Linked DNA regions of Ovis aries. The protein of the gene in region 1 interacts with the protein of each later gene in a biochemical or structural test. Links are inferred from orthologs where the notes say so. Each region holds a gene or a part of one and is shown in the gene's direction. Other genes may lie near its edges.

Region 1 (3,940 bases):
AGGGGGAGCTGGAAAAATGAGGGTGGGCCAGCATGCAGAGAGAACCAAGATCTCAGGAAAAGGAAAATAAGAGAGTAGTCAGACTCCAGACTGGTTTTAGTTTTTATGTTTATTTTCGATGTAGAGGGTGGTGAGAAGGTAGAATGAGAGGCTTCTAAATTAAATTTCAGATTCTATTAATATTTCTATCATTCTTTCACTATCTTATTTCCCTGAACATTTTCTTTTAAGTTACCTGAGTGGATTTTTGTTCCTTGCTCTTTGTAAGCATTTAGAATGGTATGGTGGCTATTGTTTAGGGTTTCCAGGAAAGCTTTCTTCCAACCCTCGCCTTGTAACACAATCTGATTCCTGGCCACAGGGAAGAAGGCTGGACATGTCCAGGAAGTTTTTGGACATGAAATGCTGAAACTGCGGTGAGAGTTTGGCTGGAAAGAGAGATCTTAAAATCATTATCATATACATAAAAACAAGGAAATAATTTTTATAGAGCATTTTCAACATATTAGGTAGTGTGTTTGGCACATCATATTAATATCAGTTAATTCTTACAATAATATATGGAGATTATTTTTCTTTGGACACGCAGAAACTGAGGCTTAGAGAATTTAAGTGCTACAAGGTCATACAGTGGATAGGGATCAGAGCTTGGATTCCATCCCAAGAGAGGGGTCAGTCCACAAACCCCACGCTTCTCCGGCTATGTTGGGTGGCCTTCCAGTTTACGGGAGGACACTAGGTCTGTCGTCTAGGAAGATATTAATGGCGAGAGGTCTGAGATTGGAACTCTAGGGCACTCTAACTCTTGATAAGAGGATTTGGTAACAGAAAAAGGGAAGATGAAAAAAAAATTACAAGATGTAGCACACATTAGAATCCGGTACATGTTTTTCGAGCTAATTTGTTATTCTCATTTTACAGGTTGGGAACTCCAGTTTCAGTTACTTGATCGAAATCCATCTGCAGAGACTAACCCAGACCTGGCAGTGGGTGAAGGTCTCCGAACCGGGCAGCGGCCGAGTAGGATGCAGGAACTGCATTTCCCAGTACGCTTGGCGGGAGGGGGCGGGGCCGGGCGGCCGCAGATTCCTTCCCAGAAGCAAAAGCGGAAACAAAAGAGTGTCGCCGGCGTCCCCGCCCGCACACTCGCACACTAGCGCTCGGGCTCACTCAGAGCAGGCACCCGCGCCCAGAGCTAGCCAGACAGCAGCGACCCGGGAACCCACCCGGCTGAGCCAGCCGAACAGCCGGCGATCCGAGCCCGCACTACCCCACGCCCCCGAGCCCTGCAGCCGTCCCCCGCCGGCCAGTGTCCCAGCCGCCCTCCCTGACCGATGGCGCTGAAGCGGATTCAGAAAGTGAGTGCCGGGGCCGGGCCTGGGGCAGCGGGGCGGGCTTCGGCTCGCCGCGCACGCTGACCCCAGTGGTGGTCCCGAGAGACGCGCCGGGAGGGAGCGTGCAGGGAAGATGGGCTAGGGCGGGGACCGGGGGCCAGAGACGCCGGCGGGCCAGCGGGCACCCGACAGGTGAGGTGGGAGCAGCGACAGGTCCCGGGTGCTGGAGGTGCTTGGAGGCAGGGGGCCCGATGTGCTCTCACGCCGGAGCTGCGCCTGGGGATCCCTGGCAGGAGAGCTGCTTCTGTCTCCAGACCTCCAGACCTATGTGCCGCTGGGTCACTGGATTTTGCCTTACACCCGGCTAGCTTTGGCCCTTGTCATGCTGCTTTCTTCATGCTGTTTCTGAAACCTGTCCTCTTTTATGATTTTGCCTTCCCCTGCTCCCGGGAGGGCATGGAAGGTGTGGTGGGCCTGCAACCTTCCTCCGCGGAGCTGTTGGGTTTGTTCTTTCTCTCCTCTGCGGTTGGCTCTTGCTCAGATGCCCGAATGGGCTGGAAAAGCCCATTTGGGACCGAGAAACCAGGAGAAGCCTCCTGCCCCTTCTATTTTGGTGCCTCTGCTGCTGCCACTTGAGGTCACATAGCTGTAGTGAAAACATAGTTGCTGATACACAACAAGATGACCTCCTGGCTGTGATTCATGGTGAGTCAAGCCAAGCAATTTTTTTTTTTTTTCTCGCCATGATAAACTTATATGTAAAGTTTGAGACACAACAGAAACTGTCACAAATTAGATAGTTCCATGCTTTGACACATGGGTATAGAATGAGGAAGAAATGTTTATATACATTAAACAAATATGTTTCCGTCCCAACTCAGTGTAAGGAATTGTTTTCTCATGAATGCTTTTTGCTACCGTCTCTAATGTGAACATGTTACAGACCTGAGATTGGGGCGTTTTCTTTCTGTTCACTTTTGTTTCTTGTTGGGTTATTTAGTCTGTTCCCTTTCACAAGCTTTAGGCTTTACTGTTATGGTTCATGTGGAGAACATTGAGAATTTGTTTTTTTAATGAGAAATGCGTTCAGCAAGTTAAGCCAGAGATGGACAGCATGTTTTCTAAAGGATTTCAGAAGAAATACTACCAAAAAAAATTTTTATCAACTTCTTCTGGCACGAATCAATAAGGCAGTGATAGGGAAGTATACATTGTATTCTCAGTTACCATTGATGTCATCTTCTGGTACAGAGGACAGCAACTTTCTGACCCAGCCAATTTGGTGGTGGTGGTGATGGGGAGGGGTCAAATGATCCGAGATCTGAGAAATACTGTTATTTTTTGTGCCTGTTAAGGTTACTCTCACGGTAAAGCACATAGCTAAAATCAGCATGTGTTGATTACTATGTTTTCTGATTTGAAGATAATGCAGTTACACACTTTTTTTCATATACATGATTCTAATTTTGAAACCCCACTCAGCATCTTTGCCATGCCTTGTGTACTTTTAAATGATGATGTAATGTTGGCTCACATTTGAGGTAAACACACATTTTCCAAGGAAGTCTTAAAATTCCATTTCCTTCTTCCCTAGTTGTAAGAGTTTTTTGCAAGACTACATGTATAGTAGCTTCAAATAGTGTAAAATTTGTCGACAGTAAGTGAACATTCACAGAAAATGGACACTGTTAAGTGTCCTGGGCAATGTATCAGTCTCCTTGCTGAGCCAATGTCTTTGGCTTGTATTTATAATATGGCATATACCCAAATCATATTTTTAGTCATTATTAGTTATTAGTTTATAACAGAGTTGTCTGGTTAAAAAAAAAAAAAATTGGATATGACATAGCATCCCATCTCTGTGTGTCAATCTTTGGCTCCCCTTCTCTGTTACCAAAAAAAAGTGATTTGTACAGATCTCTTTTCCATTGATCACTTGTTCAGACCACTCTCAACTTTAGGAAGTATTTTGTTTGATTCCCCACATTTTCTCTTTCTTTACTACCTTCTTGATGAGAAGTGAATTCCAGGGGAGGTATGCTGTTTGCCATGTGAACAGTTAAGTTACAGAGCCCTCTTTGATATCATCAGTATATAAATTCTTTTTGAATCTTCCGTGCTTCAACAAAAGAATCCATGTTATTAACTTTTGGCCTCTCTTTTAAAATGTATTAAAGTAACACTGTCAGATAAGGTCATTGGGTTGCGATTTTCCTGGGCCTACAGTGGCAGGCTTTGGAACTGTGCAGAACCTTAAAGTACTTTCAAGAGTGAAAGGCAGGGGAACAGCTTCTAGGGTAGTACATCAGAATCAACCATGGGACATTTCAGACCATCCCCACTGCTGTAGTCCATGGGGTCGCAAAGAGTTGGACACGATTGAGCCACTGAACTGAATGAACCATTGCTGTAAATGGAGAGATGCTGGTGAGTCCCTCAGATGGGCTGCTGTGGAAGAAAGGTCATGAACCACTGACTGACATTCTAGTCTACTCACTGTTGTTCAGAGAAGGAGCTTGAGGTTTCGAGTGGAGTGCTTTGTCCAAGTTAATCTCTTAAGAAGTGATTTGGCGTGTTTTAAAAAGGTCATGACTTCACAGTTTTTC
Region 2 (4,188 bases), on another chromosome or scaffold:
GTGTACTCTGGGTGTGTGTTGCGCTAAGTGGCTTTAGTCATGCCTGACTCTGTGACTCTGGGCGATAGACAGCCTGCCAGGCTTCTCTTTCCCACTAGTGTCGCCCGAGAAGCCCAGTGTGGTAGGAGTGGGATCCAAATGGGTAGCCCCTTTGCTTCCTTGAATTTCGAAGCAAACACAAGGATTGGTGGTGACCTAGGAAATAGTAATTTGCCATGTTGCTGGGGCAAAGACTTGGCATGTGTAGCGTTGCTGTGAGAGCGCCACTGTGGGCAGTGTGGTGAGCCCAGGCACCAACCGTCCCTACTCCAGAACTGGATGTAGCTCATGAAGATATTCATCCTATTCTGCACCTGTATTATCATGAACGGAGGGATCTGATTGGGGCTCAGACACGGCCTCCTCAAGTGCTAAGAGACCACTGTCATATCATGGAAAAGGCCCTCCATAGAGAAAGGCAAAGGAACAGTACCCCTGAAGGTGACTTCTCTAAATAACTGCATCTTCAGCATCCAAGGCCTTGACACTTTTTAAGTTTTATTTTTAGATAATTCACAGGTGATTTTAACAGAGTACACAGAAAGATCCTGGGTATCCTTTACCCACTTTCCCCCACTGGTAACATCTTGCGTTTGAAGCTACAGTACAGCATATTCCAGGATCTCCATATATATTCAAGATAAAGAGCACTTCTGTCTCCACAAGGATACTTCTGTTTCATTTTTATAACCACATCCACTTCCCTCCTTACTCCGACTCAACCCTTGGGAACCACGAATCTGTTTTTCATTGTTGTCAACTTCTATCTTAAAAAAAAAAAAAATCCTGATTTTCTCATAACCACAAGGGCAGGTAGTCCAAAGTAAGGTCGACCCCGAGGGACGTGGTCTCTCGGTCAGAAGCAGGACACCAAAGCCCGCTCGGAACCGAGACTCGGTGGAGGGGGGCGGTGAATTCCCAGAGCTCGGATATTAGCAGAATTCCCGGTCTCCTCGGCCAAGTGATCCTCATTGCATTCGCCTGTCTTGAGTTCTGGAGCCCGCAGCGGGAATTGCCTTCCGTGATTTGAATTTCATTTTCCTGCTTATCTCAATAATACAATCCGCGTTTCAAACTCTAGTGAAAAGAAAACTCAAGTGGCCCCAGGAAGCTCTTATCACCACCTGGCACATTGGGAGCCTGGAAAGATGGAACCGAGCAAGTGTGCGGGAGGAGGGCGGGCGGGGATTGCCCTCACTTCCCCGGCTTCCGCCGCCGCCGAACGAGACTGCGAGCCCCTCGGGTGACTACGCCCGAGGGGATCCCGTTGCTAGGGGCGTTACCAAGGAGGGGCCTCGAGGAGGGGCTGTCTTCCGGGGGGAGGCCGACTAGTAACCCGGAAGCGGTCGGCAGTGCGGCGCTGTTTAAAGATGGCGGCGGAGGAACCTCAGCAGCAGAAGCAGGAGCCGCTTGGCAGCGACTCCGAAGGTACCGACCAGGGGAGAGCCGCCCGGCCTGGGCTAGCGGGGGCGATGCCGGATGGCCGGTTCCCGAGGAAACCAGGGCTGGGGCGGCTGGCGGCGAAGCGAGCGGAGGGCCCCTTCCCCCGCGTCCGCCGCCTCCCCTCCCCCTCACAATGGAAGGAGCCGCCGCCGCGACCCCTGGCCGGCCGGGCGGCGGGAGAGAAAGCGGGCCGGCCTCCGGCCCGCGACTCTTCCCTGTCGCGCGCTCCTGGGGCGGGGCCTAGGCCGCTCCGCCCCTCCACCCCCCGCCCAGCCCCCTCCCCGCTGGGCGTCCGGCTCCCGGGTCCCGGCTCTCCCGCCCCGGACCTGGCAGTCAGGCCCGGGCCTAGTCCGGCCCCGTCTAGTCCGCCTCCTCCAGAGCGGCCCGAGCCCGGGAGGGCGTCGAATTACGCCGGGCTGCGGAGCACAAAGGACTGGGCGGGCCGCTGGGGATGCTGCGGGCCGCCCGGGGTTGTGAGCGGCCGTAGGTGTGTGCCCAGGAGGGCAGCGCCCTTCGTTTCCGGTAGAGTCCCCTCTCCTAGCCTCGCAGCCCCTTGCTTCCTGTCTCGGCATAGTTTCCTTAGACCCCTGAAGAGTTGGACCTCTCAAAACGGTCCCACCCTCTTCTTTTCACCCCTGAGTTAGACACTGGGGACTGAGGAGGTCACTAGGGTTGGGAGGGATGGCCCAGTTGCAGTGCAGTGTCGGGGGTGGGTGGAAGCCCAGCTGAGGCCCCGGCCTGCTCAAGATCAAAAGGATTGGCCTTAAAAGTCATTTAGCACACAGCTCCCTCTCTAACCGCACACTGAAAAACAGCTTTTGGGGACCTAGACCCTCCCCCCAATCCCCGAAGGGACTGGTTTAGGATCGTGTAAGTTAAGAAAGAACCAGAGCCAGGATTCAGGTCTCCTGGCTCCTCACCAGTGGCTGCTTGGCATGGGGCCCACAGGGTGGACCCGCCCAACTCAGTGATGAGTATTGAACTACACCTCTTAAGGTACCATCTCCTCAGGGCATCACAGTGAAGGGAGGAAGGTGGTGCTATCTGTCTCTATTCACAGCTGATGATGAGCCTCTGCAGTGAGGTGCCAGGGGAGTTATTGTGGCAAAGAGCCCAGGCTTTGCAATTAGACAAACCTGGGATTGACCACAGGTCTTCCTCGTCGCGACTTCGGGCAGGTGATTTCACCTGTCTGCGTTTTTGTTCTTTGTAAAATGGGCACCACTACGAATACCCAGGATGGCAGGTGGAGGAATGGTGTGACTGAGGAAAGCAAAGCGCTCATCTAGCCGAAGATGGTCTGCTTCCTCATCTGTCTTTCCTCAATAGACCTGGCTCAGGGGCCTTCCGGGCTGCTCGGAAGTGATGTTAGAGAGCAGGGGGAGAGGGCTTGTTCGAGCTGGAAGAGTGTACCCTGGGGGGCGATCACCTTGGCCTGCTTACTTTATTTTCCACCATTTATTTATACTTATTTGGCTGTGCCAGGTCTCAGTTATGGCATGTGGGATCTAGTTCCCAGACCAAGGATCAAACTCAGTGTAAGATCGGACCCCGGGGGGCCATGATGGGCCGCCCCTTCCCTCCCCCGTCGGCGGGGGAAGTCCCTAAGGAAGGGGCCTCCCAGATCCCGGGGACCAGTGACAGCACAGTTTGCCAGCTAAAGCTGCCCCACCTCCGCCACGTAGAAGGACGTATCAGCCCGTGACGCCTCGGCCCGGCAACCTATCCAAACCCCCATCCACTAACCTGGCCATCCCTCGCAGCGTGCATATATAAACAAACTTCTAACACGTTCTGGGCGGGTCCGGGAACCCCGCCCGGGAGCGCTTCGCCATTAAAGCCTGTTAGACACTCTTTTGGTGTCCTGGTCGTCTTTTACCTAACACCCAGGCCCCCTTGCATTGGGAGCTCGGAGCCTTAGCCACTGGACCTCCAGGGAAGTCCCTGGCCTCCTCCCTTTAAAGATGAGATAACTCATGCCCAGGAAATGGAAGGACTTTGCCAAGATCCCACAGTTGGGGTGGAGCAGGGCATGATGCATGCTTCCAGATTGCACGTCTGCTCTCCTGGCCCGTTCTTGTCCTCGGCCCAGCTTCCTGGAGTGGGGAGAGCCAGGGCCCACTGTAATACTTGGCCTTCTTCCTTTTTCCAGGTGTTAACTGTCTTGCTTATGATGAAGCCATCATGGCTCAGCAGGACCGAATTCAGCAAGAGGTGAGTGGCTGTGGCCAGTGGCCTTACTTTGGGGATACATTGGTTGGACTGAGGCCTACCGTTTGTCTTTACTGTGGAAGCTCCCTCCTCCCCAGGCTGAGCTGATACTAGATGCCTTTATGGGGAGAATGTGAGGTCCATGTGCCGCTGGGTGACTGGCCCAGCCACTCTCAGCTAGATGTTCGGGCTGACAGGTGTGGGTCACTCCATTTGCCTGTCAGAGTGTAATGGATTCCCCATCCCACAGATTGCTGTGCAGAACCCACTGGTCTCGGAGCGGCTGGAGCTCTCTGTCCTATACAAAGAATATGCTGAGGATGACAACATCTATCAACAGAAGATCAAGGTGGGAGCCTGGCCAGGGGACAGGAAGAGCCCTCGGGTGGGGGCAGGAGCCTGGCCACTTGATACCTGCGCTTGGCTGGGCCTGGCCTCAGAGGGGTGGACGGTTGGGGAGCCCTCTGGTCACTGGTTCACAGGTTGGCAGAGTCT
Region 3 (3,692 bases), on another chromosome or scaffold:
GAGATATATTGTCCGTAGACGGCTGAGCCTGCACAGAATTATTTTTAATAAAATGTATCTTTTCTTCCAGCATGCTTTCCACTTCCACTGCATCTCTCGCTGGCTCAAAACACGGCAGGTGTGTCCGTTGGACAACAGAGAGTGGGAATTCCAAAAGTAGGTGTCCCCGGCTGTTTCGACATCGTATGTAAGGTTGGGCTTTGTGGTCAGTACTGTTCTTGGACCCACGTCAAGCTGGAGGGTGCACAGTTTTAGAAGATGAAGACATAGAACATGGCTGGTTCATAAAGTAGCTTTCGGTTAGTTAGATGAGGACGCGTCTCTGTGGAAAGTGTATAAGGTGAACCAGCATTAGAAACTTGCAGCCTGGAGTTTCCCAGCCATCTAGGTAGGGTCTTTGGAAGTAGTAGTAGAAGCTTGCAAATTCTCATTTTGCAAGCTATTAAATATTTCCACAATCACATCAAGAATAAGGCTCCAGGGGCTAACTAATGTCATCTGTCTTTGCTTTGGGCTAGAATTATATCATGTTTCATTGGTTTATCTCACAGGGATTAATTCTGATACAGCATCTGTGGCTATCTCAACTAAATCATTATTGTTGCTGCTGTTAATTGTAGTAGCGTGTAAGTAATACACGGCGTGCAAATTTTCAAAACTTCAAATGATCAGTCTGTACTAGTAATTCCTAAAAGAGGAATTTCTGGTTTAAGAGTATGTATGTTTTTATTTTTGATAGTGTCAGATTTTTTTCCTTTCCCAAGAGTATGTACTAATTCACAGCCCCTACCAACAGTGAAGCAGAAGACTTCCTCCTCCATTTCTTGCCAGTGCTTTGTTATCAGACGTTTTCATCTTAGCTACTGACAGGTGAAAATTAGTTTTCAATTGTATTTTTTAAAACTTTGAGTAAAGTTGGGCTGCTTTTCATATGTTTTTATGCCTGTTGTATTTGTCTGTGAAATGCTTTTTTATCTGTTGAATTTTCAGTTAATTTATCAAATTTTTAATGGAAAGGGGGATTTTCGAAGTTCTCAAGAGACCTTTGTAATTGACTGTGCCGTGGAGCAGGCTCAGGGTGCCATCTTGGATCAAAACTGTCTCACGTAGCCCATACACGTGCCCAGGGCTGAGCCTAAGAAGTGGGGGGGTGACGAATCCTCCTGCTAGGCTTTGACACTGTCGCTTTATCCAGCTGGTGACTTTGCCTGGCTGTGGTTATGAGCGCCCTGGGAAAACAAATTCATAAGAAGCAAATTTCATTTCAGCATGCTTTAAACTGATGGATAACTTCTAGGTTATTCTCACTAACAAGCTGGAGCTCTACCCTGTGAGGACTTTTTTAGGGAATTTTTAAGCGAATTTCTTATAAGGAGTACTTAAAGAATCTAGCAGCCCTTCAGGATGATGGCAACAGTGATGCAGAATTCTGGTGCCCTGGTCTCCATCTGTGTAGCAAAGTATTTTCATTAGAGGCGAACTACCCACTAAGAACCATGGCCAAAGATTAAGATAATAATGGATTCTGTGTTCAAGAAATCTTACATGTGGAAAAAATGTCCTACCATTGGTTATAATCTTTCTGGAGCCAAGTTTTGGCCTCTGAGGAAATCAGAAAGGACCTGAGATCCATAGCTAGTTTCTCGACAGTTCTTTCGGTGGTGCTCAGCAGACTCAGGGCTGTAATTGGAACTGGTGATAGATTTTGACACTGAAGGCTGTTCGGTTACTATCCTCTGTAGGGGTCTTACCCTAAACTAGCCCAAGTATGGGAGTTGAGGGGAAGAGGCGGCCCACAGGGAAGAGGGCGGAGGATTCAAGCTGTCTTAGCTGCATACTGGCCATCAAGTGCAGCTCCCTTTCACAGCCATTAGCCGTGACTCCTCCCTGTCACTGCCCAGTATCTGCCTGGCACCAGGAAAGAGTCAGGTGGGTGCAGTTGAGTGGGGGACCATCACTATGAAGAGGGTGGTAGGGACAATGTTACAGGAGGCCGGTAGGCTGAAAGGGGCAGAGACAAGGGTTGAAACCCAATCTTCAAAGTTTTAACCAGATTGGTGGATATATTTTTAGCAGGTGTTACAGTCTCAAACAGGGAATCACGATAAGGAATGAATTAATAATTTACTTTGTCTTCCAGGTATGGGCACTAGAAAAAGAATTCTTCCATCAAGCTCAACTGTTTTTGTTATCCACTGAATGACTTGCCCTCCTGTTACTTATTATAAATTAGATAGAACTGTGTCTCTTCTGCTTTGTCTTTTCAGTTTGCTATTCTGGCAGCCATACTGTATTCTGTGTCAAATAAAATCCAGTTGGATTCTAGAACAGACGCTGTCTTTTGTGTATGTGCAAAAAGTGAACACAAGTAAAGGGCCTCCCGCCCCTTTCTAGGGTGGAAGGCTAGGTTTTGAAAGTGAGGTGTTTGTTCATCAGAGCCAAAGCAGGATCGTCCTGTGAGCACGTCGCTTGGTCTCAAGGAAGCCTGGTCCACAGCCTGGCTGCTGCTGATGATCTTGGGCGAGTGGTCTGTCTGCTCCGAGCTCTTCCTCCTCCGTGAAGTGGCTGCTAAGGACTAAACAGGATCATGTGGGCACAGAAAGAGGCCTTATAAACTGTGAGAACGCTGTACAGGTGTTAACTTTGTGTATGACATGTTGCTTTCTCATTTTAGTTTAGAAAAGTTAACTTGAAAAAAAATTAATATGTCATCTTGGCTGGCGATGGAGTAATCTGTGAACTCAAATTGGAAAACAGTGTCATTTAGAGTTAACGGGAGAATTCAGGTTTCCCTTCCTCACCACCACCCTTTGTAATTTGTTTAAGATGCCTTGGCTGTGGACAGAACTGCCAGTTCTAACACTACTTCAGTCTCTTAGTCTTTAACTGAGAGGCGGGTTAATTTACTGCAGTGATTCTCAAAGTGTGTGCTGAGGACTTGCGGGAGTAATGGAAACACTTTCAGGAGGTTCACGAAGTTCCTTTTCCGGCTGCGTGTCTGTACAAGGCCAATTTTTCTTTTTTTCCTTCAGACAAAGCAACGTATTGAATGAAAAAAGAGAGCAGCAAATCCAGCTGTCTTCTGCTAAGTCAGATATAAAAGAGATTTGCAAAAATGTAAAACAGTGCCACTCTTCTAACTTTTGTTTTGAAAACTAGTTACTTTGAATAAAAATATTTATGTTAACGTGATGGGTTTTTGTTCTTTTAAAATCTTTTAAATTTCTCAGTTTGATTTCCATTGTGGTAAATATCTGTGGATGCAACCCCCATAAAAACTCTTTGGTTTCTTCAGTGTGTAAGATCATAAGGGGATCCTGAGACTCAAAAGTTTGAGAACCTCTAGCTTAGTAATAAGAACTTTGAGGTCCAACCTGGGTGGAACCCAGCTTCCCCACTTGGCCGCCAGCAGTGCAGTCGCTCAGGGCCAGGTGGCTGCTGCCGTCGATGTTCCTTCCACCCTCGGCAGAAATCACCTCCTTTAAACCCCTTTCAGGTGGTCATTCACACTGCAGGAACACTTAAGCGATGCAGAAGAATGGTTTTCACACAGCTGGCGTCACATATTTGCAGAGTTCTGCCTGGGTGTTCATAAAGACCCTTGGTTGCAGAGCAGCCGACTCCAGCTTCTGCTTAGGTCATGGAACGTTTGTGAGGGCTAGGGGGCTGTGTCCTCTGAAAGGAGTAAGGGA
Region 4 (3,500 bases), on another chromosome or scaffold:
AGATGCTGCTATTATACCCAGTTTACAGGTAAGAAAACTAAAATGTAGCGTCAGTGTTGGACAGCAGGGAGCCTCAATGTGGATACCATTGCCAGGGGTTGGTGGGGGGCTGCTTCTCCACTTCTCTGGGGACCAAATGATGCAGAATTTCCCAAATCTGGTCTTGGTCCTAAAGTGGAGAAAGAGTGTGACTGGGGGGCACACAGGAGGCCCATATATGTCATCCTGCCTGACCCTAGAGTCTCCACTTTCGAGGAAAAGTGTAGCTTTCTCTACGACGCCAGCCTCTAGCAAACCCTAGCAAATGCTTTCTTCCGGCTAAGGCTTTGTTTCGTGTTCTGCAAAATGGGGGTGTGGTAAATCCCTCCCAGCTCTAGACTCTTCATTCCTAGCACACCCATCCCAGGAAGGAAGGGGTAGGGGATAGGAAGGAGGACCTGCAGGGCGTGACTCAGAGATCTCTGTCCCCAGGAGAACAGTCACCAGGTGAAAGAGGAACTGAGCCAGAAGTTTGACGTGCTGTACGCCATCCTGGACGAGAAGAAGAGCGAGCTGCTGCAGCGGATCACGCGCGAGCAGGAGGAGAAGCTCGGCTTCCTCGAGGCCCTCATCCAGCAGTACCGGGAGCAACTGGACAAGTCCACCAAGCTGGTGGAGACGGCCATCCAGTCTCTGGACGAGCCTGGTGGCGCCATCTTCCTCTCGGTGAGCAGTCCTGGGAGGGGGTGGGCCCTTCAACTCAGCAGCTCCAAGGGGCAAGTTGGGCTCCATCTCTGATCTCCAAAGACTATGCCTTTGGGGAAGTTATTTCAAGCTCATTCATATTTAAAGACTCAGTTTCCTCATCCGTATATGCTGTGCTGTGCTTAGTCACTCAGTCGTGTCCAGCTCTTTGTGACCCCATGGACTGTAGCCGCCAGGCTCTTCTGTCCATGTGGATTCCCCAGGCAAGAACACTGGAGTGGATTGCCATGCCCTCCTCCAAGGGATTTTCACAACCCAGGGATTGAACCCAGGCCTCCTGCTTTGCAGGTGGATTCTTTACTATCTGAGCCACCAGGGAAGTCCAAGAATACTGGAGTGGGTAGCCTATCCTTTCTCCAGGGGGACTTCCCCACCCAGGAATAGAACCGGAGTCTCCTGCATTGTAGGCAGATTCTTTACCAGCTGAGCTACCCAGGAAGCCCCTATCTGCATAGTGAGCATGTAACAATTTCTCCCTCCCTTCCTCTCAACTGATTTTATGAGGATCAAATAAAAGGATGCTTGTGAAATGGCTTTGCAAGCTGCAAAATACAGTGCCCATGTGGAGACTATTAACTGAGCACCTGGCCTAGGCCAGTTGCTGAGATGGAGAGACAGATGAAAGAGACAGCCCTACCCTAGAAGAGCTTGTTGGGGGAAACATGAAGGGATCAGCTATAAGATTTTGCAAGGAAGAATTAAGTTCAATGAAAATTTCCTAAGCATATACTGTGGGCCAGGCTTTGTGTTAGACATCGGGTATAAAAAGGTGATTAGAATATGATTCTTATCTTGGGGATTTCCGTGTTTAAGAGTGCTTAGATGAATACTCCTAGAATCCAAGCTTCCTGCCACAATAGGAGGGTCCTAGGATAAAGACCAGACCATGGACAGAGGGAAAATCCACGTTGTTTGGCTGAAGCCGATGAACAGGTCAAAGCTGGGCAAGGGTACGGCACCAAGTGTGCATCTGCAGTGCCTGGTCCCGGTTTTGCTGATTTCCTGGGGCTCCCCTTTCTGCAGTTCTAACCCTTTGCTCTTTCTCTCCCCCAACAGAGTGCCAAGCAGCTCATCAGAAGGTCAGTGTCTCCCCAGGGCTATGAGTCAAGGCCCCAGTTCCCCTCAGGGCCTCTGGCATGTTCAGAAGGCCTCCTCCTTTGCATTAGTTCTGCTGGGAGGGGCTACCCCCGGGCTACCTTTCCTAGCCTTTGCATCCCTGCTGTCTTAGACATCTATTCTGCTTGTGACCCAAGGGAAAATACTCCACCCTCCAGGGAAGCCTCTGGGTGCAAGGCTTGGGTGTGGACACAAGCATGTGCCCTGGTGTAAGTTGGAGCTAACACGCCTCCTTCCTTCTCTGGAACCAGAGATCTCACTGTGCCCCTCCCCCCTTTTCTCTCTGCCCCACAGCATCGTGGAAGCTTCCAAGGGTTGCCAGCTGGGGAAGATAGAGCAGGGCTTTGAAAACATGGACTACTTTACTTTGGACTTGGAGCACGTAGCTGACACCCTGAGGACCATCGACTTTGGGGCAGGTAAGGGATTATTTCCCCTGGAGGTCAGCTTCCCTCCCACTGAGCCCCACAGGGAGGCAGATACACTGCCCAACATACCCAGATATCCATCAAACTTGCACAGTCGACATCCGGATGAGCCCAGCTCAATAAACTGTGTATGGATCTGCTATAGGGAGGAACTTGGGGTGATAGAAACAGCAAGGCAATTTGGAATCAGGCGGTTCAGTTCAGTTCAGTCACTAAGTCGAGTCTGACTCTTTGCAGCCCCATGGACTGCAGCACACTAGTCTTCCCTGACCATCGCCAAATCCCGGAGCTTGCTCAAACTCACATCCATCAAGCTGGTGATGCCATCCAACCATTTCATCCTCTGTCGTCCCCTTCTCCTCCTGCCTTCAGTCTTTCCCAGCACCAGGGTCTTTTCCAGTGAGTCAATTCTTTGCGTCAGGTGGCCAAAGTATTGGAGTTTCAGCTTCAGCATCAGTCCTTCCAATGAATATTCAGGACTGATTTCCTTTAGGACGGACTGGTTGGATCTCCTTGCTGTCCAAGGGACTCTCAAGAGTTTTCTCCAACACCACAGTTCAAAAACATCAATTCTTCGGCACTCAGCCTTCTTTATGGTCCAACTCTCACATCCGTACATGACTACTAGAAAAACCATAGCTTTTAGGCAGACCCTTTGTTGGTAAAGTAATGTCTCTGCTTTTTAACATGCTGTCTAGGTTTGTCATAGCTTTTCTTCCAAAGAGCAAGCGTCTTTTAACTTCATAAAATCAGGCAGAAACTTCTATTTTTTTTTTTTTTAATTTATTTTTGGCTTCCCTGGGTCTTTGTTGCTGTGTGCGGGCTTTCTCTAGTTACAGTGAATGGACTTTTCTCGTTTTGGAGCACAGGCTTAGTTATCCTCCCGCAGGCGGACTCTTTCCAGACCAGGAATGGAACCAGTGTTCCATGCGCTGGCAGGCAGATTCTTAACCACGGAACCACCCAGTTCTGCCATTTCTTATCTTGCATGGCATTTTGATGGTTCCCTCCACCTCTCTGAGCTTCATTTCCTCACTTTAAACTTAGGTTACAAATGGGCCTACTGATAATGACCACCGAATGATGCTGGGCAACAAATAAGACATTGATTCAGAGGCCTGTGTAGGGTACTGGACATATACTAGTTATTGCCTAAATCTAGTCTTAGCTTCAGCTTCCTATGCTATAAACTTGGATGCTCAGGCACCTTAA
Region 5 (4,160 bases), on another chromosome or scaffold:
TGCTGAAATGATTAATTTAGGATACTGTGAGCAAAAGAACCTAAATTATTTTCACCTGTGTGTACTTTAAAAATTCTAGCTATTGAAAAATTTTAAATTACTATGTAGCTCACATTATATTTGCTCCTCTGTCCTTGGAGCTCTCCAGGCAAGAATACTGGAGTACTAGAGTCGGTAGCCATTTCCTTCTCCAGGGGAATCTTCCCAACCCAGGGATCAAACTCAGGTCTCCTGCATTGCAGGCAGATTCTTTACCATCTGAGCCACCAGGGAAGCCCAATATTTCTATTAGACACATTCTATTCCACTAGACCCTTCCTCTGTCATCTCCCTTATCCATCACATCCTTTCCAAAGCCTCCGTGCTACCTCTGTGCTTCAAATAGGGCAGTCCCTGTGCCTTTGATGCACCCCATCCCTCCCTCTCCTTCTCTCTTAAGATTCTGCTTTACTTCAAAGTCCTCTTGAGGGCTTTGAGAGATTTTGCTTCTTGAGTCCCAAGTCTGACTCCAGTTACTAGCAGGTGAGGTGTGGTACCTCGGCTCTCACCTTTATTCCATAGTACACAGGGCAGCCGTGCAGTTCAGTGCACACGTGCTCGGTCCTGTCTGACTCTTTGCGACCCCGTGGACTGTAGCCCACCAGGATCCTCTGTTCATGGAATTTTCCAGGCAAGAATACTGGAGTGGGTTGCCATTTGCTACTCCAGGGGATCTTCCCCACTCAGGGATGGAACTCGTGTCACTGGGTCCCCTGTATTGGCAGGCAGATTCTTTAACCCTGAGCCACCAGGGAAGCCCCCGTGAAGTCCAGCATTGTTGGCTAAATAGAGAAAGGAGGGCGGAAAAGCCCCAAGAGCCAGTCTAAAGCACTGAGTGAGATAGAGGTAACAGGTGATATGGCATAATTCAGGTGAACAAATTCAAATTTTTAGGAATGTAGGTTAAGTTTAACCTGAACTTAGAATGTGAATTACATTTTCCCTGCAAATAACAGTAACAATAAGAGTTAAAAGGAATCACAAACTCAGGAGAAACTTTATCTGATTTGAGCATCTGCCCCGTCTCCACTCTCCCCAGGGAAGCCCAGGACTCGCCCGTGCCTCGCGCGCCTCTCCCCGCCCCCGGCGCGAGCCCACAGGAGACGACCCCCGGGAAGCCCCTGCGCCCACCCCCCGCGGAACAGAGAAAGGGACCTACTCACCTGGCAGTCCGCGGCCAGGAGGGCGGCGAAGAGAGGAGAGGGTGCGGCCCTGCCAGGAACCGAGAAGGATCTCCGGAGAAGCGAAACTGAAACTTTGCGCCCCAGAGCGGCGGGGCGGAGGCACCCCGGCCCCGGCCCGGCCCAGCTGCGTCGCCGCCACTCGCGGCGCCATCCCCGAGCGGACAGCCATGGCTTCGAGCCTCGGCCCGCCGTCCCCGCTGCTCGTGCGGGTGTCCCATCCCGGCACGCGCCTGGAATGGAAGCTGGAAAAGTACTTCCAGAGCCGGAAATCGGGCGGCGGGGAGTGCACCGTCGTGGCCCTGGACCGCAGCGACCCCACCTCGAACACCTTCCGGGTGCAGTTCAAGCAAAGGGCGGGTGAGCTGAGGGCCGGGGCTTGGTGAGTGGGGGGGGGGGGGCAGCCGCCGTCCCTGGAGGGGCCCCCCGGGCGTTCCATGCAGACCCAGTTCAAGCTTATCTAGGAGAGAGGGTGGGAGAAAGTCTGGTACCGTCCGTTGGGAGCCAGGAAGTGGGGGCTCCTGCTGACAGACGCAACCCCAACGCAGAGGACACAGCCCAGAAGTGCCCAGTCTCTGGTCTGGTTGATACTTGCCAGTGTCCCCGTGTTGTCAGAGCACCCGTACCGCCCCCAGACGCCCCTGTCACTTAGGTATTTCACTTTGATGTTTTCCATTATTATTCCATTGATTCGTTTTTTAGAATTGCAAGAGTTATAGATACTAAGGAAAGGGGAGAAAATAATAAAGAAGAAAACACCCAGAGAAAAACAATGTGAATGTGAATATTTTGGTGTATTTCCTCCTGGCCTTTTCCTCTGAGTGTCAGCAAACATATATGTAGTTATAAACCTGAATCTACTCTTTGATTCCTGCTCCTCTCACTTGATTTGTGATGAGCATTATTCCATGACATTGAAATGGGAAACTCATGACAGTTTCAGGAACGTGACTTTTAAAGAGTGGATGATATTCCATCATCATTAAGCTTTCCTTTCTACAATATAACTTAAGCTGCCTTCTTTAGAGTTTTGGGACTTCCCTGGTGACTCAGCTGGTAAAGAATCCACCTGCAATGCAGGAGATCCCAGTTTGATTCCTGGGTCAGGAAGATTCCCCTGGAGAAGGGAAAGGCTACCCATTCCAGTATTCTGGCCTGGAGAATTCCATGAACTGTATGGTCCATGGGATGGCAAAGAGTAGGACACGACTGAGTAACTTTCTTTTTTTTAGAGTTTTGTATAGGCCCCTCACCCTCTGGTTAACCCACCATTCCAGGATGCAGGGAGCAGCCCTTACTGTGAGGGTGCTGGGGCAAGGTACAGATGCATGAGTAAGAGGGTTATTTGAAATTGCTCTCATTTCTATGTGTATATTTAATATCTCTACTGAAGGTAAGGATGGTGTGTTGAAAAAAGGAGAGCACCAAATTGTGGTCGACAACCAACTTGTGACTATTTTCCTGGAACCCAATGAAAATGCAGAAGAGAAGAAGACCAAAATGTCTTCTTCGACACAGTCACAAAAAGGGGCAAGCCACGATGAGAAGCCTCCAAATGTAAAGGACATTCATAATGACGTGGATTCCTGTCTCCAGAAGGTGGGTATTGAAGGGAGCTATGTATGTCCCTGCAACTTCCTCTCCAGTCCAAGGACCATTTGCTGAGGATTTATTATGAGCCTGGCACTGTTGTAGACATTGGAAGACAGCTGTGCTTAGTTGCTTAGTCGTATCCGACTGTTTGTGACCGTATGGATTGTACCCTGCCAGGCTCCTCTGTGGGGATTCTCCAGGCAAGAATACTGTAGTGGGTGGCCATGCCCTCCTCCAGGGGATCTTCCCAACCCAGGGATCGAATCCAGGTCTCCCACATTGCAGGTAGATTCTGTACCATCTGAGCCACCAGGGAAGCTGAGAGGTACACAGAGATAAACACAACAGACAGGTCCCTGCTGGGGATGGAGAAGTACATTGACAATAAGCAAGTAAACAAAATAACTAAAGTCATTTCAGAGAGTGATATGTGCTAAGAAGAAAATATAATGGGGTTTTGCCTTAGAGAGTGACAGGGCTGGGGCAAGGAAAGAGAAGGAGTTTGTGTTATTTCTGATCGGAAGTCACTAAGGAGGTGATATTTGGCTTGAGAATTGAATGATGAGAAGGGACCAGCCATGCAGAGACATTTGACAAATCAGAATCAGCTGCCTGCTATGTGCCAGGCACTGTCACAGGAGCCAAAGGTACAGCCAGGAACAAGCAGACCCTGCCCTCAGGGACCTTACCTTCTAGGGAACCAGATAATAATAGTAATCATATAGATAGGGAATAAAATATCTGCCAGTGATAAATATCTGCTAGGAAGAAGAACAAAGCAGAATTTGTCGTTGTTTAGTCATTCAGTCATGTCCGACTCTTTGCAACCCCATGGTCTGTACCCCTCCAGGCTCCTCTGTCCATGGGATTTTCCCAGCAAGAATACTGGAGTGGGTTGCCATGCCCTCCTCCAGGGGATCTTCCAGACCCAGGGATTGAACCTGCGTCTCCTGCATTGGCAGGTGGATTCTTTACCACTGAGCCTCCAGGGAAGCCCATAAAGCAGGATAAATGATAGTAAAGGACTACTGTTTTAAATAGGATATCGGGAAAAAAAACCTCTCAAATGAGGTGACTTCTGAGTAGAGACACGAATAAAGTAAGGGAGCTAGCTAAGTGGATTTCTAGGGGAAAAAGATTTTAGGCAGAGGGAAAGTAACAAGTGTAAAGCTGACACAGCCACCCCCACCCCCAACACACCCAGACTGGAGCTTACATCCCGAGCCCAGAAGCTTCAAGGAGGGAGGCCACTGTGGCTGGAGGGCAGAGAGCAAGAGAGTGAGAGAGGACCTTGAAGAGGTAGCAGAAGTCTGGTCTTTGAGGGATGAGGGTCAGGACTTTGGATTT
Region 6 (4,259 bases), on another chromosome or scaffold:
AAGTTAACTTTTGGAACTGTGTAAGTGAGCACTTACATATTTTGGAATTTGTGCCACCTATGATATATATAACTTACCCATCTTCCTTAATCCAGACAAAAGCCATGCAAGGCTAGAAATACTGTCCCAGTTTTACAGCTGAGCCAGGTGGTGAAGGCTGAGTTTGAATTCGAGTGCAGATGACTCCAGACACTTCCATTGTTACTGTCCTGGCTCACTTACTCAGAGGTTTGTCCACAGATTAATGATTTTTAGATGGTGCTGTAAGGATCTGGGTATGGGTTCTTTGTATATAGGTTCTTTTTGTATAGGTTCTTTGGAAGTCTGGGAAAACATTTTTTTGCTTGAGAAATGTCATCCCTTTTACTTGTTTTTACAAATTTGGACTCTGTCCTAAATCTGTCTGAAGTTTTTCTGCTCTAAAACATTTGGAGTCTCCTGGTCTAGAAACCTGAGACCTATTTAGAATGAATATGTATTAGAAAATTAAAACATAGATTATTGTAATTTATATTTTTCAGTGAACAGACTTTTCAGTTATATTTCTGTTCCTAATGATGTTTTCTGTAGCCTAATACCAAAATGACATTGAGGTGATTGAACACACTACTAATAGGGTGGGGAAGTGATCAAGAGTTAAAATTTTATGCTAAAAATGGCCAATTTAGAGCACAGGGTTCACACTCACACCAGGTCTTGGTGCCTTTAAAGGCTGCACTAAGCATGATGTAATGACAGGTTAAACCTCTGAATGCCTGAGCTGACGCAATGCAGATTGGAGGCCCTGGACTTTACTGGGGCAAGGGTAATGCTTATTTAAAAACAAAACAAGCTACTCTGTTTAATGAGGCCGTTTAAGATGGTTTTCCTAGAGTGGGAAGAGAATAAAATCTAAATTTGAGGGTTAAAGCAGGAGTTTAATATGGTTATGTGTGCTTAGTACTCTCACTACAAAATCTCGAAGGGAGAAGGAGTTTAAGGTGCAGATGGTGGTAAAAATGGAGAAGCGAGTTACAGTTGTGGAGATAAGGTAGTTAACGCCCGTCAAATAGTTATTGAACGAAGTACGGAGAATGCTTTTACTTTGTAAAAATCTAGCGTCCGCAGGGTTAACTGGCAGAATATAGTGCAGAGATGCTTGTCTGGTCGCGTATTTCCCATATATTCTGTGTAGACCTTTGGGTTGAAACCATGCAAAATTGCCCATATCCGACTGTTTGGGCCTACAGAAATGGAGTTCAGCCTTCTAGTAAGCTGATGGCTTGCGCAGTATCGCCGGGGAGTGAGGATCGGGGGGGTTTTACGCCGGGTTTTACTCGGCTGGGTGCCTGGGTGGGAGTTGCACGCTCCTTGCCCAGGAGCCGCTTGGGAGCTGCCCCAGACGGAGTGGGGCGGAGCCTTAAGCCCCGCCCCCGCACGCCGCCCCGCCTCTCGCCATCCGCGGCAGCCGCCGCCCTGTGCAGAGAGAGCCTGCGGCCCCCTGGCACTGCGTTGGCGCAGGCTTCCCTCCTGCGGGCCGGATCCTGCAGTAGTAGCTTGAGCTGGCACCGAGAGCGCACGTAGTCGACCAGTGGCCTCTACGCACCCTTCTGCCCTGTTCTTCACCGAGCTGGCAGGAGCCTAGCCGATGAATTTGGGGAAGACAGACTTCCGAGACAGACGAAGGTTTAGGGCCCAGCAGAGGACAGCTCAGCAATGGCTCCCATTTTTGGAGACGCAGGCAAATTTCAGCTCCTGGGGAGGTGTGGTCGACTCCTCTTGGAACAGGAGGGGGCATCAGTTCTCTTCTTCAGTAGCCAGTGCTTCTGAGGAGTGAATGGAGTGTATGGAGTAGGGCATGTGCCTTCTTTTGAAAACTAGACCCGGGACATGTTTAGTAACAGAAGATATCCAGGAGAGCCCTCCGTTGCAAGTTGTCTTTGCTTCTGGGGGAAAGGCTATGAGCTCTCTGACTTATGACCGGGAAGTCTCCCTTACCTTTTCTGTACTCCTGGAGAGGCATCTTGCTCACTTGTTTACCAGCATCTGGGACAAGGAAGAGAAAAGGTACTGCTATTAAGAGACTGTGTTGCTTAAACTGTGGAACGGGAAAGTTGTTTTGAGCCTCTGAAACGGACCAGGGAATTGCTGCAACAAAATTGAGCAGGCAGTGATTTCTTTTGATCAGCTGTGCTTTTCTCAGTTTAAACCAAACTTCGGGTTATGTCATGACTGCTGCAGAGCTGTCCAGACACTTAAGTCCTTGGTTCCTACTGCACGGCTGCTGTGCTGTGTGTGGATTACTTTTCTGTGTAAGATGGACTGAGTTCCGCCTGCCGAACTTTGGGAAGTTTTAGCAGCTACTGTCCTGTAATACTTAAATTCACCAGAAATTGAAGCCATATTTTGCTTGTTTTCACACTTTGAATAGTAATTTTAAGTTGTGCTTTGTATGTTTGGGAAAATAATGATGTATATTATAATGTGAATCTGGACTATTGATAAATGTATAACTTTTTCTAGGTCACAAAATTAAACAGTAATATTTTTCTTGCTTAGTAGTTATATTATGTTGAATACAAACTGAGTTTAGTGACCAGCTGGTTTTGGTTTAGTGATTTGAAAGGAATCAGCTTAGATTTTGTGCCCAGGGAATTACTTCCCAGTTACTATGTTGCTCTCTTAAATGAGCCGCATAAAATGGACCATGAAATAAGCATACATACGGGACACTTCAGCAATGCTAAGCCATTGTTTTACTAGTGACCTAAAATAAAATGCATGGATCATCATATGCAGAAAAAATCTCAGAGGTAAACTGGATTTCATGAAAGTTCCTTTATAGTGTTTTTGTTGGGCTGAACACTGGTTATACAGGGCTTCAGTGATGAGAGTTGATTCCTGTTGTCTTAAATCTATGCGATGAGCCATGTTATGATAGAATCCTTGTGATACTTTTGTTTCCCCGTGAACTCTAGAATATTCCTTTAGTGACAGTGGAATTGACCTATTTTGGGGTTTCCTGGGGGAGAGGGTTCACTCTCAACCCCCATTTAAGGTGTCTGTCCTTGAGTAATCTGCGAGTGTGTGCTTGTGCTCAGTCGATCAGTACCTGGGGTCTGACTCTTTGTGACTCCGTGGACTGTAGCCCACCAGGCTCCTTGGTCGATGGGAATTTCCCAGGTGAGAATACTGGAGTGAGTTGCGATTTCCTCCTCCAGGGGACCTTTCCGACCCAGGGATCGGTACTGTGTCTTCTGCCTTGGCTGGTGGCTTCTTTACCACCGAGCCACCTGGGATGCCCTGTCTATGAGTAATAGAATCCAAATTGCATTTATGTGGTCTCATTGATAACCAGCATTAGTTTTTCAACGTTGAATTCTAACAGAATAACAATTATAATTAAGGAAACATTAACTTTTAGGAGTTGTTAAATTTTGATTTTGTAGAGATATGGCTTGTGGTTATTGAGTATATACTCTTAGGACATTAATGGACTGATTTTTTGTCATCCCCAAGAAAGCAGTGCACTACATCCTGGGAAAAGGCGCTTGTTTTATCTTTAATTCAGCTTGACAGGTTAGTTAACGTTGTTGATCATTTTTTCCAGATGGCATTTATTTCTTAAATAATGTTTAGTACTGTGCTGATGAATGCTTCAGCAACTCTGGTGAACTCTATAATAGAATATAAGGAATTCTTTACCTGTTGACTCTGTCCCTCACCCCTAATGTTGTGTCTTTCTGATACTGTTTATTCTTTATCTTTTCCTGACTTTCCTTCCTCTTTGCAAATTATACCAGATTTATATTGTAGAGCGGAAGTAGAGCAGAATGATTTAGTTCTGAATACCAGACTCATACCTTTTAGAGGGTGGTCCTCTATTTCTCCTATATGCTTCCTCACTTTTGAAGGGGGCCACAGATGGGTAGGAAATAAGATGAAGATCTAGCTGGGGTTAACATTCCATGGAGATGGATGATGGGATGGCAGGAGACCTTCCCTTCCCCAGATAGATCTCTTTAGCAGATAATATTCACCCTTAGAAAGAGTAATCAGAAGCCAGTACCCTGGTGATCCTTTGGATCATGTATAACTCACTGAGGCTGTCAACAGCTGACTTAAGAATGGGGAAGAAATAGAATGAGCAGGGCAGTTGAACACAGGCAGGGGAAATTCCAGTCAGAACTGATTTCATTGAACTTAAACTGTTTATACAGTGTTCCTTAGTGGTTTAGGATCCAGGTTTCTGTTCTAGCGTTTATTCCATGTAGTCCATT
Region 7 (3,981 bases), on another chromosome or scaffold:
CTCCTTTTCATTATTCATGACTCTACTCAAATATCACCAAAACCAAAAAGTCTTCCCTGACCTTCTTATGCTTACTGCCCCAATCTCCATTCCCAGTTCTATCTTACTCTTGGCTCTTATTATCTGAAATGAACAAGTTTATTTATTTATTTGTTGATTCCTTATATCGTCTCATTAAAAGTAAAATATGGGCAAAACTGGATGAAGTGTATAGGATTATTGTTTATTATTGTATGTGTGTATTGCATATGCATACTATGTACTACTATGGGTTCTCTTAATAATGAGAATATGAATCTATAATTGTTGCTGTTGCGTGGGTGCTCAGTTGTGTCCGACTCTTTGCAGTCCTATGCACTGTAGCTCACCTGGCTTCTCTGTCCATGGGATTTTTCCAGGCAAGAATATTGGAGTGGAGTGCTATTTCCTATTCCAGGGGATCTTCCCGATCCAGGGATGGAACCCGGCATCTCTTGCCTCTCCTACATTGGCAGGAGGATTCTTTAGCAACTGCGCCACCTGGGAAACCCTGAATCTATGATTATCTTCCCCCAAAATGTTTTTTAAGTAAGTTCTGTGAGAACTGTGATTTTTGCTTGTTGGAAACTGTGTCCCCAATCACCAAAACGGAGTCTGTCACGCAGTGGGCACTCAGTAAGTTTTATTAAATGCGTGAATTAATAACTGGTGTATTTGGTCATAAATATTCAAAGAGGATGGAGAGGAGTACAAACAACAGCAAGAGATCCTAAGGTGAGGAAACTGGGCGGGGAGCGGGCAGCGGAGGTTGGGGGGAGGGGCGGTTGTGGGGGGAGGGGGACGTTCCTAGAACTTAGCGCTGGAATCCCTATCCTAGAGGTGGGACTCAATTCAGCTCCAAGAACTCTTCCCACTACAGCTTGCTACCTCTCCATTTATGGAGGGTTGGTTAGATGACGGAAGTAGTGATTAGCACTTTCTTCGGAGACGCTCGTAGATCCTCTCTGTGGCTACAGCAGTAATCATTACATTGCAAGACCGAGAGGACCATCACCTTACAAGTGGGTGTTCTCCGATTGCGTTCAGGGAAGACCACGCCCGCACTTTCATTCACTCGCTCTAGTGGTTCGGAAGGAGGAGTCGTGCGATTGCCGCCGAGGTTCACCGCCAGCCCAGGTCCTCTGCTCTGCAGTTGAGGTGTCAGATTTCAATCCTCCAGGGCCCGGGGACGTCTGGCGTGCACCGTGCGCCCCGCCGCCGCCGCCTCCCAGCCTAGACTCGGGCAGCGAGCGGAGGGAGGTTCACTCCGAAAGCGGCCGCGTACTCGGCCTGCCTTAGACCCAGGCTGGGCGCCGCGACCGAGGCTGCTCCCCGGCTGCGCGGCTGGGCGCGCGGGGAGGCGGCGATCGCAGCTGGGCCGGGACTTCCTTCCTCCACCGCAGGACAACAAAACAAGCCGGCCGCAGGCACCGAGCTTTTGGCGACCGTCTGGGGCCGGAGGTGCAGGGATGGGTTCCGTGCTGAGCAGCGATAGCGGGAAATCTGCGCCAGCCTCGGCCACCCCGCGGGCCCTGGAGCGCCGGGGGGACCCTGAGCTGCCCGTCACGTCCTTCGACTGTTCTGTGTGCCTGGAGGTGTTGCACCACCCCGTTCGGACCCGCTGTGGCCATGTGTAAGTGCCAGGGGAGCTGGGTTTGCGCGCCCTCCCCGCCCTGGGTCGGGGGTCGGGGGGGTGGTGGGTGATGCTAGAGGAGTCGTGGGAATGGGGGACTGAGATGACAGCACTTCGGGGAGACTGATGTGAGGAGAAACCTGGGCCCGTCGAGGGCGGACCACTGGGAAAGTGCCCAGTCGGAAAGTGACACAGGATTTCAAGGGGGGAGAAACACCAACCAGCGGGTCCTACAGCGCTCCCGAGAGCCACCTCCTCTGGCAGCCCAGGTGTGGAGCCCCCGGGATGCGGATCCAGGGCTGGCGAGCTGAGGAGGGTGCGCAGGGGTGGAGGAGCAGCACGCGCCGGGAACCCAGACGGGGACTCGGCGGAGCGCAGTGGCCGCTCCCCTCGGTTAATCGCGCGGCGCTTCCCTCTCCGCCGGGAGCCGGAGTTGGTTTTGGTTTGCTCGCTCTGTGCACGTGTGGTCCAGAACGCCTGCCGAGGCTGGTCTGTTGAGCAGGCAAGGATCTGTGCAAAGTGTCCTTCCACCCCAACTTCCCTTTCCCGACACAGACGCCCAGGTCTCTCAAAGAACCGTCAGATTGGACAGTCCCAGTGACTTTCTGTGGCCGCCAGGGTGGGATCTGGGGCTTGAATATTACCCCCAAGCCTGTGAACGCAGCCTTTTAAAGCCCAGTCACCCGAGTGACGGAGGTTGCTGACTACCTGCGTTGCTCACCGCCCCCTCACACGGTAGGAAGTAGGGATAAAAATAACTGTCTTAAAAACCACATGCACGCTTTGTAACGAAAACCCTCTGGGAGCGCACAGCTGTGGTCGTTTCTAGGAAGAGTTTAAAAACAAAATCCCTGTATAAAATTGGCACCTCTTTAACGTGTGCCTGAGTAACTAGTAGTTGGGGGTTGGGTCTGTGAGTTTGTGTTCTGTTCGTTTAAAAAGCTTTCTTCCGGTGGATGCATTGGGTGTGTGACTGGGCGTGTTGGTGAGATTGGCGGGGGCCGGGCGGGGCAGATTTCATAGAGCCTGAGTGAAAACCCACTTAATGCCTTCTTTGGATCACCGACTAGTTTGATGAAGCTCCGAGGCAGTAAGTGCTTTTTTGGCTTACCGGGGAAAAAAGAAGTGTCATAAATTATGAATGCAAGTGCACAAAACGTCTTTAAAAGGACTTAGATGGTCCTTGACACCTATAGCCTAGCATTTGAGAAACAGTTTTCAACTCCGAAAAGCCCAGCAGAGAACCAGGGATAAAAATCTGCTGCCCACACAATGTTCAAAGCAAGAGTGCCCCTGGGCATTATTTTGTGGCTGTATTTTCAGGGCCTGTCGTTTCAGCTTTGTACTTTAAATTCAAGGCTAATTTACGTCCTGCCTGATACCTGATGTAGTTTCCTAGCCGTCCACATTGACATAATTCCCCGGAGGTCAAGATAGAAGCCAAGACGTTATTGTATCATGTATGAAATATATTGATTAGCTCAGAGCAGTAAACCCTCAGGATAGTTACATTTAAATTTAGTCTGTATGGCTCAGCGGTAAAGAACCTGCCTGCCAATGCAGAAAACCTAAGAGGCGCGGGTTCGATCCCTAGTCTGTATCAGAGTTAAAGCTTTTCAGTTGCGGGGAACACACACCGTGGCATCAAGTCTGGACGACTTTCTTTTGTGGGACTGAACCGGGCAGCATTGCTATTGGAGATTGTTATCTGACGGTTTTCCTTAGTTTGGATTTTTGAATGCTGCAGCTTAGTATGTGCAGTGTTTTGCTTCTGCTAAAGGGTAATAAAAACTTGTGAAATGTTAAATCCTGTGTTTAATCTTTTTCTTTGTTAGAGTGAATAGGAAACCAGCAACTGGGAAAAAAAGCCATGAAGTAGCACAAGGGCTGGACAAATCGCCTTCCCTCACTTTATTGTTCTTTGTTTTGACAAAGCTATGTCCATTGTTCTGGCTATGGGCACAATTTCCATATTCCTACTTTTGGCAAATTTACTTGGGCCTCTTCCACTTTGTCAGTGTTAACTAGAGTCCCTTCTGCTCTGGAGATTGTGAGCCCGCCTAACGCCGTTTGTACTTCCTAAATGAATTACTCTCTTCCATTGAACTTAAATTGGAAAATGAGGAAATGAAATGAAACTGCTATATTATCCCAGACTTAAGCTAATTTCCAAACTTATTAACCTAGGTTGTTTATGCTAATTTTGGTTTATAAACCAGTTTCAAGTTGAGCAAATATAATATAGCAACAATACCTTGAATGTTGTACTGTAATGTTGCACATTAATGTTGTAATGTTGCACGTATGTATGTACTGTGATGGAGTAAAAC

Evidence for each region.
Region 2: the proteins of UBE2D1 (region 1) and OTUB1 form a complex in vitro, tested with the Homo sapiens proteins (2 studies listed by BioGRID). The link is inferred for Ovis aries from reciprocal best matches to the Homo sapiens genes UBE2D1 and OTUB1.
Region 3: the proteins of UBE2D1 (region 1) and RBX1 form a complex in vitro, tested with the Homo sapiens proteins (95 studies listed by BioGRID). The link is inferred for Ovis aries from reciprocal best matches to the Homo sapiens genes UBE2D1 and RBX1.
Region 4: the proteins of UBE2D1 (region 1) and TRIM63 form a complex in vitro, tested with the Homo sapiens proteins (3 studies listed by BioGRID). The link is inferred for Ovis aries from reciprocal best matches to the Homo sapiens genes UBE2D1 and TRIM63.
Region 5: the proteins of UBE2D1 (region 1) and DTX3L form a complex in vitro, tested with the Homo sapiens proteins (5 studies listed by BioGRID). The link is inferred for Ovis aries from reciprocal best matches to the Homo sapiens genes UBE2D1 and DTX3L.
Region 6: the proteins of UBE2D1 (region 1) and SIAH1 form a complex in vitro, tested with the Homo sapiens proteins (3 studies listed by BioGRID). The link is inferred for Ovis aries from reciprocal best matches to the Homo sapiens genes UBE2D1 and SIAH1.
Region 7: the proteins of UBE2D1 (region 1) and RNF125 form a complex in vitro, tested with the Homo sapiens proteins (4 studies listed by BioGRID). The link is inferred for Ovis aries from reciprocal best matches to the Homo sapiens genes UBE2D1 and RNF125.

The regions. Positions count from the first base shown.
Region 1 is NC_056075.1:305,094-309,033, reverse strand, and holds the start of UBE2D1 (ubiquitin-conjugating enzyme E2 D1), read left to right. Parts: upstream 1-1,140; 5' UTR 1,141-1,334; coding exon 1,335-1,358; intron 1,359-3,940.
Region 2 is NC_056074.1:38,767,050-38,771,237, forward strand, and holds the start of OTUB1 (ubiquitin thioesterase OTUB1), read left to right. Parts: upstream 1-1,388; 5' UTR 1,389-1,409; coding exon 1,410-1,467; intron 1,468-3,634; coding exon 3,635-3,696; intron 3,697-3,943; coding exon 3,944-4,042; intron 4,043-4,188. UniProt on the Homo sapiens protein: Hydrolase that can specifically remove 'Lys-48'-linked conjugated ubiquitin from proteins and plays an important regulatory role at the level of protein turnover by preventing degradation.
Region 3 is NC_056056.1:217,993,073-217,996,764, forward strand, and holds the end of RBX1 (E3 ubiquitin-protein ligase RBX1), read left to right. Parts: intron 1-70; coding exon 71-156; intron 157-796; coding exon 797-860; 3' UTR 861-870; intron 871-2,140; coding exon of another isoform or gene 2,141-2,203; 3' UTR 2,204-3,192; downstream 3,193-3,692. UniProt on the Homo sapiens protein: E3 ubiquitin ligase component of multiple cullin-RING-based E3 ubiquitin-protein ligase (CRLs) complexes which mediate the ubiquitination and subsequent proteasomal degradation of target proteins, including proteins involved in cell cycle progression, signal transduction, transcription and transcription-coupled nucleotide excision repair.
Region 4 is NC_056055.1:240,766,372-240,769,871, forward strand, and holds part of TRIM63 (E3 ubiquitin-protein ligase TRIM63), read left to right. Parts: intron 1-471; coding exon 472-705; coding exon of another isoform or gene 706-725; intron 726-1,800; coding exon 1,801-1,823; intron 1,824-2,154; coding exon 2,155-2,279; intron 2,280-3,500. UniProt on the Homo sapiens protein: E3 ubiquitin ligase. Mediates the ubiquitination and subsequent proteasomal degradation of CKM, GMEB1 and HIBADH.
Region 5 is NC_056054.1:187,820,983-187,825,142, forward strand, and holds the start of DTX3L (E3 ubiquitin-protein ligase DTX3L), read left to right. Parts: upstream 1-1,360; 5' UTR 1,361-1,390; coding exon 1,391-1,580; intron 1,581-2,613; coding exon 2,614-2,819; intron 2,820-4,160.
Region 6 is NC_056067.1:16,329,749-16,334,007, reverse strand, and holds the start of SIAH1 (E3 ubiquitin-protein ligase SIAH1), read left to right. Parts: upstream 1-1,459; 5' UTR 1,460-1,955; coding exon 1,956-2,046; exon of another isoform or gene 2,047-2,792; intron 2,793-3,498; exon of another isoform or gene 3,499-3,558; intron 3,559-4,259. UniProt on the Homo sapiens protein: E3 ubiquitin-protein ligase that mediates ubiquitination and subsequent proteasomal degradation of target proteins.
Region 7 is NC_056076.1:25,521,249-25,525,229, reverse strand, and holds the start of RNF125 (E3 ubiquitin-protein ligase RNF125), read left to right. Parts: upstream 1-1,181; 5' UTR 1,182-1,487; coding exon 1,488-1,651; intron 1,652-3,981. UniProt on the Homo sapiens protein: E3 ubiquitin-protein ligase that mediates ubiquitination and subsequent proteasomal degradation of target proteins, such as RIGI, MAVS/IPS1, IFIH1/MDA5, JAK1 and p53/TP53.